Nothobranchius furzeri: one gene and its partners. The protein of the gene in region 3 interacts with the protein of the main gene of each other region in a pairwise test. Links are inferred from orthologs where the notes say so. Each region holds a gene or a part of one and is shown on either strand. Other genes may lie near its edges.

Region 1 (4,166 bases), on a different chromosome or scaffold from region 3:
ACAACTATTAAAAAAATACAGTTGCACATGTTGCCTACAACACAGAGCTTCAACCAGAGGGCAGAAGAAATGTACAGGATTCAGGTTTTTGAGGAAAGTACAAATCCTGTTAAAGCTCTTAAAAACAGATTTGTCAAATATTAAACATTTGGTATTAATGGGATGTTACATATATGTCAAAGTGGACTATGTTACACAGTTTCAAACCTCAGCAACAGTATCAAATCAACATAACGGCATTAATTAGGCAGAAATATTTAAAAAAAATGTTTAAAATATTATACAAAATTGAACTGTAACTAAGTATAAAATTGTATGGCAATGTGGAGGTTTATAAAATAATAAATGGTTGACATTTTGGAGTCTTTTTTTTACTTTTTAGTTGCTGAAATAAAGTGATTATAGTTAATCTGGATATAGGTTTTGTTGCAGGTAAGTAGTCTTAAATGTTCTTTAATGAGATGTCCTTTGGAACATACTACGATTGTACTTGCAACAGCCAGTATAAATCCATAAAATATACAAAACATTAACAAGTAACAATCCTGCACAAAATAGCATTCTTGTTATGTGCCTGTTCTCCTCCAACTGCATGTTAAAGTTGTAAAGGTCACCAGATGTGCTCGTTTTATTGCTGCAGTGACTTGGAAACAAGGACTTTCCTTTACCTTAAGGTCCATGGTAAGAAACCGGTGAGTTATGTCGGGTGTGGGTGAAGTGATACGGGGCGGTGGTGAGAGTTGACGATGTTTGATGTAAGGATCCTCAGGCATCGGCTCAGGCTCATTCAGAACTATACCCTCATGTTCCATGAAGTCCTGTTGAGTGAATGAAAAGCCTCAAACCAAAAGACTAGTTGCAGAAGCGGCTCACACACAACACTTGTTTCATAGGGATGATAACAGGAATCAGGAGTGATGTACCTTTGTGAATGTATCACAGTGAGTAAGATGGTACTTGTATCCATACACTTCCAGGTCTATACCAAGGTTGAAGTCTTTCCAGTGGTAATAGTCTCCACGGTCATTCTTTGGCACCCGATGGCGTTTGAGCCGCTTCCCCTGTGATATCCCAGAGTTCATCACTGCGGACTCCCAGATGCACATGCTGTCATCCTCGAGATAGTAATAAATGACCACATGGCGTATACGGTGATCCTCGTCAGGTGAATTCCAGACATCCTCCAAGAAGTATGCAAAGAAACAAAGTACCTAGAATACAAGCAGATGGTTGTCAACAGTAATTTACATTTTATGGATAAATGATCATATCAGATTTTCTAGGTTCAACCTTTTTGTCGAATTTCACATAAGCTGGGATGAAGTCTTCGTATACTGTCTTGTCATCAAAGTGATATGTAAGGTCTGGTTTCTCAAAGGACAGCTCACTGATCTCCTGTTGGGACAGCTGCTCTGATACTAGAGGCTCCTGACCAATGCCAGCGGATGGGCGACGAGGCAAAGCAAAGCCGTTCTTATAGATCAGAGTCTGGGGTAGGTGGAAGGAGGACTTCTGTCGAAACAAATACTTTATTGTGGACTTAAATCACACCAGAAATTATGAAGTCATGTACACGAAACTTCACAATGTAGCATGACGCTTGTAGATGCAAAGTACATAGAATAAAAATATGACACTGGTGTATTTCCATGTAATTTTCTGTAATAAGTTGGTTAGTTTGAGTGATCCAGCACCAAAAGGTGTTATAGGTTTCGATTTACCAATTTTCCAATCACTAGCAGCTGTGAATAATAACTAAACTCTGTGTTCTTTAAAGAGTCACAGGCTCACAACGGCATTGTGACATCATATTGTACCAGCTAACACCATAGGGTATCTCTTAGCCAATGGCGATGACAGATTTAAATTCAAATGCAGTGCAGAATTTTCAGCTGAAGAGAGCACAACACTGATAGTTTTAGGCAGAAAATTAAAAATTTAACTAAAGTGCAAGACTATTGTCTACATGTGTCTGCAGCTCGATTACGCACATTTATATAGTTTATCAGAAAAAAAAGTTGATTTGGGGATGACTTGCTCTTTAAATGAACACTGGTCTAGAAAAGTTGTATTCTTATATAGTGTATAAGGTTTTTCATTCATTGCAAGCCAACTTGCACAAGGATTAATGATCAGTTTTGCTGATGTTGGTTTTACAGAACAGATGGTAAAATCCCCGCAGTTGAGAAAAATCTCATAGTAAAAGAGTATTTTAGCCGTCTTCTGCAAAAATGTGCTGTTACTAGACATTTCACACTAAAGCTTTATATTAACAAATAAGATGAATAAATTACAGATGTGAATAATTTGTGTAACAGTTCTTCTAAATGTTATCAGAACTTTTTTATGGAGCTGAAAGCATTCAACAATGTTTAAATATGTTTATCAATTATGACTAATTAGTAATTTCTTTTTTCCACAAATGCCTGAGGAATTATAGCAATGACATTTCTATTACAGAAATAAAAAGTAAAGGAATAATGAAAAACAGCAAAAGCCTGCAAAATGCTAACTTTAGTGTTTGTTTACCGGTCATTTACATCAAGAATTCTGTTTTGCTAGCTAGCTTTAGCTTCAGGTGTGTCAGTTTACCCTTTCCTCTCTAAACGAGTATCCTGGTAAAAATGGTATCCCATAGTTATTCCAGTTAAAAGCCATTTTCCCGGGAAGCAGTTTTCTAAATTATTGTCTCTAAAACAATTTGAGTCTCCTGAAGAGCTTCTCGAAATACAAAGCCACACGACAACGATTGAGGTTAGTTTGTAGTTTCCATGGAAACGATAAAACAGTAACAATTTCTAAAATTAAATACAGAAAAATAAAACTTCCGTCATAAAAAATGAGACAAATCAAATTTTACGATAAAAATGAACAGGAATAATAAAAAGAAATTAGAAATAAAATGATTTCTTAATTCTTTATATATTTTCTAATTCGTAAATAGCAAAACCCTCATGTGGCCACCAGGGGGCAACATTGCTCATTAAATCCTGCCGACTCTCCCTAACTTGGGTAACAAAGTTTGCTCTTATTTGCGTGACTACCTATCATTTGATTTGATTTGTTTCTGTGCTATGAGAAAAGGATTGTGCAGATAAAGCTGTGAAAATTAAAATTTCCAAGGAAAAACAACAGCAGTTTAAATTTGAACAGTTTATTCCAAGCACAGGAGTCTTACATTGTTATTAGCACATGTGAAATTCCTCCAAGTCTAGACAAGAAGATGGGAAACTTAATGCTTTAAAATGTTCCATTAAGACAATGAAAGCCTTTAAATGAATCTGACTATAGCTTATGTTATTAAACTGGTACTTGCACGTTTCATCTTCAGTGCTGGTTCCTTCTTCAGATGGCAGCAAGCAGTGATCACCATGAGCATCTGTTCAGCACTGACAGCTATGGAATTAGGCCGTGGTTTGTTGGAGCCCTGAAGTTCACACAATCTTTGATCATCAAAGACTAGAAAAAGTAATTTCAAGCAAAACCACATTTACAAATTTGGCATATTCTTGCAATTTTACAGAGTAGATGGCAAGTGCAATATTCAATAGAAACATTGAGGTTTTACACAAGCTCCACCTTTTCCATAGCAAAATGGTTGTATAAATAGAAATAGAAATGTGATTTCAGTTAAAAAAACACTAGTTATGGGTGACAACTATGACTTAATGGCTAAAAAAAGGCACTGCACTGTGAATTTCTGTATCAAAAATAACTATAAATCACTAAAATCCTCTTTGAGGCCTTTTACATCATATTTCAAAATTTCCTTAAATGCTGAAAAACCTATTTAATTGAGCCGATCATGGCTCGATGAGCACATCATCCAAACAGAAATACTAGGATTGCATCCCTGAGGTGCCAGGCAGCCTTTGCCACGTATAAAAATATCTCATAATTAAGCATACTTAAAACAAAGTAAACATAGATAAACTATTAAATATTATAAAATATTTTTCATAAGGGTTGAGATGAATCCCCTGCACACGTGTAGAAAAACTAAAATCTTTTGGTTTTATTAAGCTCAAAATGCAGCATGGTTATTCTCTGTGGAATGATTGTCCTACATCGACCCATTGTCAAGCATGTTTCATTCAAAATGCCCATCTGGTAAAGCACACGCTGAATACTGGAAAGTACTGAGCATAAAGCTCCAAGTGTAGCAG
Region 2 (4,001 bases), on a different chromosome or scaffold from region 3:
TCTTCGTCTAGATCTTTGGCTGTGATGGTGTAGCCCAGCTCAGGAGGTGGAGGCTGCACATGAACAACCACAATAATGCAATCTGGATGCAAATAAACAAATGTGAGGGAGATCAGCGCTCCTCACCAGAGAGATGCGATCATCTCGGTGGCTGGACACCAGCTGGATCTTCCGTTTTCTCTTCCCACCACTTCCAGTCGAGTCTGCAGAGGTTGTGACTGGGGATTTGATCACCGGAGTTTGTTTTACTGCAATATTATGAAACAACATCATATTTGTTTGTGACCATACTTTGAACATGAATCATCTAAATTGGAAAAGTCATCTACAGATAAATGGGAATTACTGGTATCAAGGGTCTTGTCTGATGCAGTGTGGTCCGACTTCACTGAGGATGCAGAGCTTGGAGACTGAGTGTCATCCTCTCTGTTGATTAGAAAACATAAAAAAAGCTTTAATTTGTAGTTAAATGTGGTTTAATGATGACAAACATGCAGAAACAGACCTGGGTCTTTTGGCAAATCCCTCTGGAGTCTGAGAGCGAGACGATTCAGGGCTCGATAGAGGAGAGCTGGGTGCAGATGGTTTCTTCCACTGTAAAGAAAAACAAAAAATGCTTCGATTTGCTTTTGCTATGCAAAAACCCCCTTTACTAGACTCCGGTAGATGAAGATACCTGACTAAAACCTATCGAAGAGCTGTAGGAGCTTTGGATTGCATTTCTTCTGGTACCCGAAGTTCCTCTCGGGGCATGAACTCCAGAACTAGAGCTGATGGAGGAGGTGCGAGACCTCTTCATGGTGGTCTCGTCTAAGGATGCGGTCATCCCTCTTTTTAGGCTCCCTGGTCTGGAGAACATTAATAAAAACAACATTTAAAGCTTTGTCCAACATCTAAGATTATGATTCAGCTTTACATACAATTCTTACTCACTTAGGGACCAGCTGGGATGGTGCTCCATTAGGCAACAGAGGCTCAAAAGCAGAGTGCGAACTTCCACCGCTGTCATTGCGCCTAAGAAAAGCCATAAAAAGAAACCATAAGACAGCTGCTATTGTCCAGACTGAGCAGACAGTACCTCAAGAATCTATTAAACAAATTTTCTACCTTCTTTTGCTTCTTTGCTCAGCGGTGAAGCTCCTGTCCTCATCCTCTACTTCCCTCTTGCGGCTTTCCTTCAACACCTTGAGGACGCTCTCTCTGGAGCAGGGGTCTGCCGGGACCCTGGTGAGCCCTGCACAACTCAGATGATTCACACTAAAAACCAGAGCAGAGGACAGTCAGCACTGATTCGGCTGAAAGTAGCAAGACCTCAAGCAACAAATCAAGGGCTATCCAAATAGTAAATTAAAAGACAAAAAATTAAAAATTAAAAATAAACGGTCGTGCCCAAAAACATTTAACCTGCAGAGACCTGGGAATGTTGTGGTCGGGCCTGGCGATCTTTACAGTGACGGGACTGAGAGCAGCAGGGGAATTTCGAGGACTCAGGATGTTCTTTTTTCTGAAACCATCCCACTTGACAGGAGGCAGGACTCCTACTGAGGAGACTCCAGGCTGCTGAAGGGGGTAGCGACGCTGGGGGGTGATGGTGAACCTGTTAGCTGCACCCAGAGGCTCCCTGCAGAGGAGATTGTAATGGAAGGAACAACTTCAGCAGGTTAAAACGTACAGATGTTATGGAATAGAAATAAAACAATATAAAACAATCACTTTACATGTGAAACATGCAGCTGCATAGAAAAAGAAACTATGCTGCTCATCCTAACCAAAAAGTAAAGATATGCACTTTAACGAAAAGTTAGTAAAATGCTCTGTTAGTTTTTAGACAACACAAGCGTGTAGACACAACAAGCCATCAAAACAAAAGATTTATCACAGTAACTTAGCTAAAAGCATGAGTAAAAGAAGCCAATGAAACAAAGTTATTGGATGTTTTTAAAACGATTCCAAGTTAAAGAGTTCTGGTTAGAGCTTTATACGTTTCAAACATGTGGGTTTTGTGTGCTAACAAGCTAGCTAACGCTATAAACATTTCTTTTTCATGCAACACGTGAATTTAAACAGATGGATCAGAGCTTAATAAACCTAATTAACTCACCCAGAGAACGAAAGCCTCCTGTTCGGGGTATAAACTGCATGGTTGGGTCTGGACAGTTGTTCTCGCAGTTGCTCCCGGGGATTTCTCCCGGCTTTTGGCCTCCCAGAGACGGCCGCTGGACTTTCGGCTTTCCCGATGTAACTCCCCATGAGAAAATCCCGAGGGCTGAAAAGAATCGAGTCACTTGCTAAGGCTTCTCCTCGACAGAGCCCGGTTTTACTGAGCTTCGGGAGTCCCTCTGTCTCCCGGTGATGGTGCTCGGATCGGTTGCGGTTCTTCGTTCTACTCCGCGCGGCCACCGAGACGCCGGTCGCTGTCCAACCCGACGACCAGCGCCGCAGCACGCCCGAAACGTTTAATCCAACCCGAGGATTCGGGCCTAACCTGGCGGGAAACGATTCTCCGCTGTGATAATAAAAAGCAAAACAACAAGCTGCAAAAATTAAAGTAGCGTACAGAAAAGTGGGGATGTAGTAAAAAGCGAAGGTGATTAATCCTAAAACAGAGAGAAGCGCTAACTGTTTCTCCCTAGGTGACATGGCGGTAGCGCGCCGCCTCTCTCGCATTCAACATGCTGCTGCTCTATCCAACTGCTCGCGCGGCAGCGCTCCCTACCGAGCACAGGAGCGAACTACACCATCAATCCACACGTCACCGTGCACACTCGCCTATGCACGCAAGCACACACTCACAGCAGACTTACCGCTCAGGGAAATAGCAGACTCAGATTCTGCAGCATTCTGGAGGGTTTCCTGTTAACCGCGATCATTAGATGAAAAAGGAGAGGAGGGCGTTTTTTTCAAGGAGGCATGGGGCAAGCGGCTCCGAGCGCCAACTTGTCACATCGGCAGGTGAGTGGTTGAGCCAGGTGGAGGTGCGGCTACCTCAGCTGGAGACCAGTGCACTGCAGCCACGTGGTGATTTGCTGACAATGTCACGTTTTTCAGCTTAGCCATCAGCTGTGGCTGATTCTAAATAAATGTGGAGCAGTTTTTAACCTGAAGATGGAGATATAAAGTTTTGGGCCGAAATTAAATTTAAAGTTGCACCAAATTGCCACACTGATTACACATCTACAGACAAAAAAGTTAATTTAGATGTTACTCTTAAAAGTAAAAGACTCATGCGGAGTTAAAAGCCATAAAAAAGGGGTTTCAAAAGAGATTTAAAACAAGACAGCGATGATGCCAACCTAATATTTAAAGGCAGCACATTCCAGACTACACTAAAAGCCCCCACCTCAGAGGCTAGGTCTCATTCTTGGGACTTCCAGGAGCATCCATCTCATCAGCTGACCTTAGACCCACAGGAGTAGAACAGCAGCAGCTCAAAAGTAATGTTGAGTAAGGCCCTAAGGCCATGCATAGATTTTAAAGTACCTTATACTGGATACTAAAGCAAGCAGGTAGCAGTGCATTGATGCCAAGACAAGGGTAATGCTCCATCTTTATCCCAGTATTGTAACCTTCGCTTTAAATTAAACGTTAGGTTTCACAAACATGTTTTGATGACTCTTCCCTGCTTGTGAAACAATTTCAAAGATAGATAAGTCTGAATTATTTGCTGTAACCACAAATACATATACTTCCTTCTGAAAGCTCAGATCTGCCCTCAAAATATGCTAACATTAAGTTTTACATGCATTTGATATTTATGAGCTGTTAGTGTGGAGATCTAGTGGGATTTGGAATTAAGTTTGAGATTTAATTTTGAAGGCAATTGTGGCAGATTTTTTTTTGTTAACACCGTTTACATGTTGCCATCTAAAATTGGTCTATTCTGCAACTTTTAGAAGTCTGTTTAATTGGCTTCAGGGGAAACTGCTGAACAATTTTTGTAAAACATTTCAAATGAAAGCAAAAGCAAATTTAACCTTTTATTGTGATAACGGAACATTTTT
Region 3 (3,500 bases):
TCCAGATGTGCTCACACACTCCTGCCAGAATGCACAGAATCAATCAGGTATGGAGTATCATTGTGTTTCCAGAGAACAATGTGAGAGAATCGCTACTCATATCCCACCTTGTTGGCTAAGCTGACAGCATTCAGGGCCTGCTCCTGAAATTGCTGGCAGTCCCACTCGACATAAACTGTGGCGAGGAGCCGCAAAGCCTTAGCCTGTAGAGAGAGGAGAAATCCTTTTCATCATACAGCTGTTGCCATTGCTGTCACCTAATTGTGTTCTGTCTTACCAGAACATCTGATCCAGGTCCATACTTTACGTTTGTTTTCCCGATGTCATAGCTTTGGCTAAAAAAAAACAAGATTCTCACCGTTTAGTTTCTGAGCACTTGAATTTAAACTTTAAATATCGTCTTTACCCGAGCCAGAAAGAACTCTCCTCAAACTTCCTGAGATTGTACATTTCTAGTCCAAAGTTGTAGCACATGAAGGAGAGGTACGCCGTCTGTGTTCAGAGTTTGTTCACAGTTAACATCCCCCTCACTTCCAACAACAATATGTGCTGTGAATGTGATAAATCAATAAATATATACTGTTGTTAGAGTGATAATAGAGGGATTTTTTTACATCTTTTGGGAGTCGTTGCAACATGTCTTTACAGCGCTGCACGTAGCCCACAGCCTCATGGTGGTTCCCTTGAGTTAAGGCCTGTAGAGAAGATCAGACATGAACTTCCTACTAAATGTCAGGAAACAATGTGACACTCACTATCAGCTGCTCTAAATTTCCCCCTCATTGTTTCTCAGTTCACATTTTTGCTGTCTCACACTTCACACTGCAAGTCTGTCAGAACAGCACTTCCTAAGCTGCCAAATATCACAAGAACAAATATTCACATTGAAGGTGTCGAACATCACATCACATGCTCACCGATTCTGCCTGGCATGACAGAATTCTAAGTAGATCCTTCTCCACATCCGCCTTGGATGAAGAGCTGTCAGCTGCTGCATTGCTTCTGGTGGTTAGCTGGCTGTAGAGGGTTTCCAGGCTCTAGGGATGCAGCATCAACAGTCGTTTGTAAAAACACCATATTTCTGTTTGCTCTAAACTTGCACAGGTCTCAGCTCTCTCTTTCTCTCTCTCTTAGTTTGTGTGCTCATTTTTTATTCACCTTGACAGCAAGCTTCAAGAAATGATCTGCCATTTGGGGATTTTTGCAGTCCAGCCAGGTTCTCCCTGTTTTGCTGGCCATCTGTAAAGATTAGACACTGACAAATGGGCCTTGTTCTCCTGAAACGCTGAGCACTCACTGAGGATACCTGAAGCACTTCTCACCAGGATCTGCTTGCGGATGGTGCCCTCTGTTGGATTGTCAGGCTCACAGTAGTAGAGCAGACTGCATGCAACATGACGGACTGCATAGGAAAGAAAATGTTGCAGTATAATGCAATGTAGCTGTGACTCGCCCAGCTCATGCCTCACATTGTGTCAAATGTTTAATATTTTCTCTTGCTGTATTTATTATTCATTGTTGGAACTACAAATAATAAATACAGACAAACTAGGATGAAAATGGTACCTTTAGCCTTGGAAATTTCACTTAAAGCAGCACCCTTGTGTTTGGTAACTGCCCAGTTCCACAGCTGAACAGCACAGTCCTCAAGCTGCAGAAGACAATGCAGCTTATATATATTAATACACATTAATAATAAAAATTATAATACAATTAATACATTCTTATACGTTCTGTGATAAACAACTTCAGCATAAAAACCTAATAACTGTGCTGAAATATAGGTTATTATATGTTGAAATATTAGTTCAGCACTTGTTTACAAACATTATGTCAGACTTTATTTGAAGCAATATGGACCAGTATTGATCCCTGACTCTGACTGTGGGCTCCAGACCCTCTGAACATACCTTCACATCTGTTATCTTGGGTAAAAACTCTAAGCCAGAGATTTCAGTAAACAGTTCCTCTATAACTGCATCAAAATCTGTCAGATGTTTCTGCAGCAACTGTTCTGTGAGACCTGAGTAAAGGCAGAAGCAGATAAAAGAGTAGTCAACAAGACCCAAACAACAGATTAGGCCTCCACACACACACACACACACACACACACACACACACACACACACACACACACACACACACACACACACACACACACACACACACACACACACACACACACACACACACACACACACACACACACACACACAGAGTCTACAGAAATCCACCTAAAACTCAGACTGAGAGCAAATCGGAGTTCATAATGGAAAATCTACAGAAAATATTTCTAACTGATCAGGGTTTTTCCTGCGTTCAAATTTGCGTGGCGGCTGCCTTCAGCTATTTTTGTGCCGCCCCAGCCTGATTTCACTCTGCCCCCAGCTACATGGATGTTATTTTAACTGCAGTTGCAGCGTTGCGCCACTTAAGGGGCGCTGTATCAACAGCGGTGCACCAAAAAGCGCTAAAACCACTGCAGAAAAAGATGATCAAAAATTGCTTTTCTCGCTAGTTGGCACATATCTATGGTTGGTGCTATTGTAGGGTGACCATACGTCCTCTTTCCCCCGGACATGTCCACTTTTCAGTCTCTGTCCGGGGCGTCGGGGGGGGGGGGGGGGGGGGGGGGGGGGGGTCCCTACATTGATCAAAATGTCTGGTTTTTCATCCAGGAGCAGGGATTGAGTTATGGGGGCTAGATAACTGTCAGGGACAGATACAGTTTCTGCCTATTTTACAATATTTATGAACGCTCAGCGTAGCGGGACTGTTGAGCGAAGAGGACACAGAGCGCTCATCGTTGGTGCGCCCGCTGCATCCGGTGCACGATACATTCTCGAGGTGGTGCAAAAAAAGATTATTATTAACACATGATCGTTCATATCTGTTTAAATCCTCTGGTATTCTGTCTTTTAATCATTCCTGACGCGCTTATCCTGTGCTGCAGTGATTTCACCTCGCTGACGCACCATCGAAAAGCGCACTCCGCTTTGCGGTCAGGAGATCCCTTTGATCTGCTCAAAAGTAACTGATGAGGTGAAAAAGTAAGAATCCAGGCATCACTCTTTCTGGAGAATTTAGAGGAGATGCAGGAAGATGAGAGACAGACAGGACAGGAAAATAGTTAAATAAAAACAAGAAAACAAAGTGTTGAAAAGTAAAATGTAGGTAGATTTATCTCCACTACACGTTTTTACCTGTATAAAACAATAAGTTGTGCATGGGGTTGTCACGGTGTGAAAATTTAACCTCACAGTTATTGTGACCAAACTTAGCACAGTTTTTGGTATTATTGCGATATTTTTTTAAATGTGTTACATTTTCAGACAACTACATAAACCCTGTAAGCGCCTCGTGATTTTTATCTTGAGAGGCCCTATAGAAATTATACTTTCTTCTTCTTCTTCTTCTTCTGTATATCAGGATAATATTGTCCTCAGTTTGTGTCTAAATTTCACCTAAAATTAGTTATTTTGTAATAATGTTATTTGTTT
Region 4 (4,142 bases), on a different chromosome or scaffold from region 3:
TGTTTTAATTACTTGTGTGTTGCACGAAAAACCGCTACAAAATCAGGAGGCTTTGTTGTTTTCCGTAAAGCTTTAATCTAAACGTTGGTCTCATATTGCTTCTGTTGAACGCCTTTTCGTTTTACCTCTCAGCAAGTAAGGACATAACTTCCACGTGTTTAAGAAAAGAAACACAAAACCAGGATATAAAACTGTACGATAGAAATAGAAGGCGCCATGGTAAAAAGGCAAATTGCAAACTTGGATTAAACTGCATCGTGAGTCTTCTCCGGTCCAGTGGCCGTGCTTTCTAAAAGATTCAGATGAGAAAGTGCTGCCTTTTCTTTGTCGTTCTTCTCTTCCTCAGTCAGTGACTAACGAGGCGGGAAGGGGGCGGGGGAGTAACCACGTGTCAGCCTTCTGACTGCCCTTATGTTTGCATTTGCAAAAGGTTAGAAGAAGGAGCAAAGCCACCCCTGAGAGGGGAGTTGAATCCAGGCTGCAGGTAAACAACACGGACAAAACTTTCACCACTTTATTGGATGGGAGCTTGTTGTTGGTCCTCCTCAGAGCCAGTGTTTACTGATCCTGGTGGAAATAAGAGCCACAGGTTAAACGAGTCATCAAGTCACATGACTTCTGAACTAAGTTAGATTTAATCACCTGGATCAGCCGCTGAATGTTTGTCTGCTTGTTGAGGAATGCTTGGCTGAGCTTGTTGCTGCCTATAAACACAGAAACATCTGTTTTCTAAGTGGGCAGAGCTCGTTTAGGGATTTAAACAGTCGTTGTAGATCTTACCGATCGAAGTAGGCTCGTCTCCTCTTCCTCAGCTCTTCGGCTGTAAGCGTCTCGTTTTGGCCTTCTTTTTGTTCTCCTGTAGTGCTCTCTGCTGCCTGCCCTCCAGATTTTACACCCTCCCCTTCACTGTCTGACATCCTGTTGCTCATCACTGCTCCTGCAGAAAGACAAATGCAAATAGTTAATTTTACAAACTAATGTTTAGAAGTTTAATACAAGTTTCAAACAGTTTTAAAACCTTCACATGGCACACAATTGACCTTGCATGCTGAGCTGTATGGCTCTGCGTAGATCAGCATCTTCATCTTCCACATCCATGTCCTGTCTACTGAGCGCCAGAGCTCTCTTCAGTTCTTCATCTTCACCCACAGACTCATCCTCAACACCAAAAACCACCTCTGTCTGGCTCAGAGCAGCCGACCTTCTGCTTACAGCAAAACGCACGAATCAGACGAGTTAAACAAACCAGAACCCTTGTGAACAAAATGACACACACCCCGCACTCGTCTGCGCTTCCTCCTCTCCGATGAGCCTTGGCCGCTGCTGCTGATGGACCCTCATGATCCCAAGAATCTGCTCTGCCTCACACTCAGGGAGATTCCCTCGGATCACAAATATGGAATACCCTGCAAAAAAAAAAAAGAACTAATTTAATCATCTTTTCTCCAGTTCAACCTCTAAATGTACAGTTTCTGATGCTACCTTCTTGTTGTAGCTGTGCAAGGAAAAGTGCTAAATATGTGTCTGATATCAACTCTGGTCCTGTCAACAGTGAATTCAGGTTAAACCACTGCAAAGGAAACAGAGAATTTTAGTGAATCAAGCTGCTATAAGACAAGTATGACTAGGTAAGTGAGTGAGTGCCACACACCTGTTGTCCAAGTTTGCGTATAGTAAACCAGTGCTCCTTATAATTGCAAATGAAGGCTTTCTCATTTCTGAAACACAAAGTAAGCATCAGCTTAAAGAAATGAGAGATCAGGATCTTCTATCATAATGTTTCCACATTAAAACCTTACACTGGGTTTATCATTAGGCTCTGGTACTCTCGACTATTAAAGAGGAGTAGCTCCAAGCCCCAGACTCGAAGAGCATTGCTAATCACCTTGAAAATATTGAAACAAGAGTGATATTACAGAAGAGGACATGGATTTTAGAAGCAATAAAAAGATAATTGTAAACTCACTTGTATTGAAAAGAACCCACTATCATCCATGTTCCCAGAGGGTTGCTTTAAACACATTTTCGAAAGAAAAACATGAATAAAATTACATTTTTGATAACATTTTGTACCAATATGTACCCTCTGTCTCATAACACCTGTAAAAAGGTCCTGTACTCCTCACTAGCCATTCCCCCCTCTGCCATCCTCATCCTCTCCTCTTCATCAAGCTGATGAGCGATAGAGGACAGGTCCACAGGAGTGAAATACTCGCCCTGCAGAAGGTTGTTGAGGCAGTGCTGGGCACAGAGGGAGCCCTCTTGCTGCAAACAAAGGATCAGGAATGTAACAAGCATCCAGCATCAGCTGGACTTCTGGAATAAAGATGCTCAACCAAAACAAACACATGTAGCAGCTAGCCCAACGAGGACCCAGCCAAGCAGAGAGCGATTAACTAACAAGAAAACAAAACCCCTACATGACGCCAGGAATAGTTATCATGTTAAAAATCTAACTTTTCACATTCTCTGACTAGCAAGTGAATTAGCGTATTAGCAGTTTGTACAACAACTCCATCACAAACGCCTCGATAGCGGCTACTTAACTGGTAAAACTATTCAGCAGATCGAGCACCGACACCGCTTAATCAAAAATCAGTAAATATAATCAGGTAAATTCGTGTTATAAAATGTTTAAACCTACTTTCTCATGAAATATGGAGTCCATATTCAGCTTTCTGTCAAACGTTCAACTCTCTAACCCCCGCCCCTCACTCGCCCTATCGAGAGGAGACGCCCCCTAGCGGGCGGGCGTGCGCGCGGCACAGTGCTGGACGCCTCTACTTACGGCAAATGGAATATGGCGGACAGTGAGAATTCCATGAACAGGCTGGAGCTGAGTCAGGTATGATGTTCTCTCAGCTAATTCCGTTGACAGCGCTTTCTGAGAGTTTGTGGCAAAACGACGGAGTTTAAAATAAAAAAAAAATCATGTGTAATAAGGTTTTACTGCATTATGGTAGAAGGTTGTTCTTGCCAGGCTAATAATAGTCGTAGCCGCCAAGGCTAACTAGCATTAGAGAGGCATCACGCTGTTTATTACGGATAAACCGACTTTATTTTTACTTCTTTTCGGGATAAATTTAGTCTTTTTCCATGAGAAATGATGTAAGTGTTTGTCTTTCCCCTCTGTGCTTACACATGACATTTAAAATGCTTAGCCTGAGGTCCTGAATGCCTTTTCCGTTTATTTACAGTGAAAGTAAACTAGTCTACTGTTACTGTGTTGTTATTCATATTTAGGTTTACCTGTTCAGATATTTTCGCCTCCCAAACACCAACATAATCACGCATTTTTAAACGTCCTAATGTAGTTACAGCCTTTGTGTTTTATTATTGAGAAATCCGTCTAATGTGGTTTTTGTTTTAGTTTCGTATAAAATAAATTATTTCAGTTTTATTTTCAAAACCGAAATATAATTTTTGTATAATTTTACTTGCTTCATCCAATCCATTGTATTATTTTCAAGGTGTTCAGTTGGTACACAAAAACATATTTGTTCTGATGATGCATATTTATGTAAGTGAACCTAAACAGACTCCTGGCGTGGATGTACCATACACTCACCAGTTTGTTTAGCAGGTAAACCAGTTCAGATGCTTATTAACACAAACAGCCAATCAGGTGGTAGCATTTAGACATGTGGACATGATGAAGTTTTGTCTGATTATCTGGGGAAGAAAGGGGATTTCAGTGGTAATGAATGTGGTTTTGTGCTGGTGCCAGGCAGGCTGGTCTGAGTGTTGCAGTTTTCATCATGATATTAGCAAAAGGTTGCATCTCAACTTCAGCTGCAACATTCATAAATGTTAGGTTAGACTTTGATGTTAACAACTTGAAAACATGGATCCATCTTAACGGTTCAGGCTGCTGGTGGTGATGTAATGGTCTGGGCCCGTACCTGATTATTGTTGGCGATAGTGTCCATACTTGTGTTTCCACACTGGACCCATGCTCTGACGGCTACATCCAGCAGGATAATACTACAAAGCTCTAATCATCTCAAAATGATGTTTTATTCAAGCCGCTACAGTCACTACATCTGAATCGAATTAATCACATTTTAGAAGAGGAGACTCACATCACATGTTTTCAGGTGACAGATCTGCATGAACTGCTTGATAATCCTATTATCTAAATA

The links.
Region 1: the proteins of tex11 (region 3) and efhc1 interact in binary tests that used the Homo sapiens proteins (3 or more experiments, as listed by UniProt). The two-hybrid records come from large-scale screens. The link is inferred for Nothobranchius furzeri from reciprocal best matches to the Homo sapiens genes TEX11 and EFHC1.
Region 2: the proteins of tex11 (region 3) and pom121 interact in binary tests that used the Homo sapiens proteins (3 or more experiments, as listed by UniProt). The two-hybrid records come from large-scale screens. The link is inferred for Nothobranchius furzeri from reciprocal best matches to the Homo sapiens genes TEX11 and POM121.
Region 4: the proteins of tex11 (region 3) and atxn3 interact in binary tests that used the Homo sapiens proteins (3 or more experiments, as listed by UniProt). The link is inferred for Nothobranchius furzeri from reciprocal best matches to the Homo sapiens genes TEX11 and ATXN3.

The regions. Positions count from the first base shown.
Region 1 is NC_091742.1:6,295,663-6,299,828, forward strand, and holds the start of efhc1 (EF-hand domain-containing protein 1), read right to left. Parts: upstream 2,801-4,166; 5' UTR 2,659-2,800; coding exon 2,593-2,658; intron 1,513-2,592; coding exon 1,291-1,512; intron 1,212-1,290; coding exon 924-1,211; intron 819-923; coding exon 669-818; intron 1-668. UniProt on the Homo sapiens protein: Microtubule inner protein (MIP) part of the dynein-decorated doublet microtubules (DMTs) in cilia axoneme, which is required for motile cilia beating.
Region 2 is NC_091750.1:52,615,023-52,619,023, forward strand, and holds the start of pom121 (nuclear envelope pore membrane protein POM 121), read right to left. Parts: upstream 2,801-4,001; 5' UTR 2,668-2,800; coding exon 2,102-2,667; intron 1,622-2,101; coding exon 1,415-1,621; intron 1,258-1,414; coding exon 1,108-1,257; intron 1,015-1,107; coding exon 934-1,014; intron 849-933; coding exon 677-848; intron 595-676; coding exon 506-594; intron 427-505; coding exon 347-426; intron 249-346; coding exon 127-248; intron 54-126; coding exon 1-53. UniProt on the Homo sapiens protein: Essential component of the nuclear pore complex (NPC). The repeat-containing domain may be involved in anchoring components of the pore complex to the pore membrane. When overexpressed in cells induces the formation of cytoplasmic annulate lamellae (AL).
Region 3 is NC_091741.1:84,269,679-84,273,178, forward strand, and holds part of tex11 (testis-expressed protein 11), read right to left. Parts: intron 2,024-3,500; coding exon 1,911-2,023; intron 1,652-1,910; coding exon 1,567-1,651; intron 1,403-1,566; coding exon 1,323-1,402; intron 1,240-1,322; coding exon 1,159-1,239; intron 1,038-1,158; coding exon 918-1,037; intron 696-917; coding exon 615-695; intron 493-614; coding exon 407-492; intron 336-406; coding exon 278-335; intron 204-277; coding exon 108-203; intron 22-107; coding exon 1-21. UniProt on the Homo sapiens protein: Regulator of crossing-over during meiosis. Involved in initiation and/or maintenance of chromosome synapsis and formation of crossovers.
Region 4 is NC_091758.1:31,656,002-31,660,143, forward strand, and holds atxn3 (ataxin-3), read right to left. Parts: upstream 2,759-4,142; 5' UTR 2,669-2,758; coding exon 2,645-2,668; intron 2,266-2,644; coding exon 2,101-2,265; intron 2,012-2,100; coding exon 1,967-2,011; intron 1,886-1,966; coding exon 1,800-1,885; intron 1,719-1,799; coding exon 1,652-1,718; intron 1,571-1,651; coding exon 1,483-1,570; intron 1,407-1,482; coding exon 1,277-1,406; intron 1,205-1,276; coding exon 1,041-1,204; intron 938-1,040; coding exon 781-937; intron 705-780; coding exon 643-704; intron 568-642; coding exon 515-567; 3' UTR 501-514; downstream 1-500. Other genes in the region: E3 ubiquitin-protein ligase UBR1, read left to right, coding at 2,801-2,845. UniProt on the Homo sapiens protein: Deubiquitinating enzyme involved in protein homeostasis maintenance, transcription, cytoskeleton regulation, myogenesis and degradation of misfolded chaperone substrates.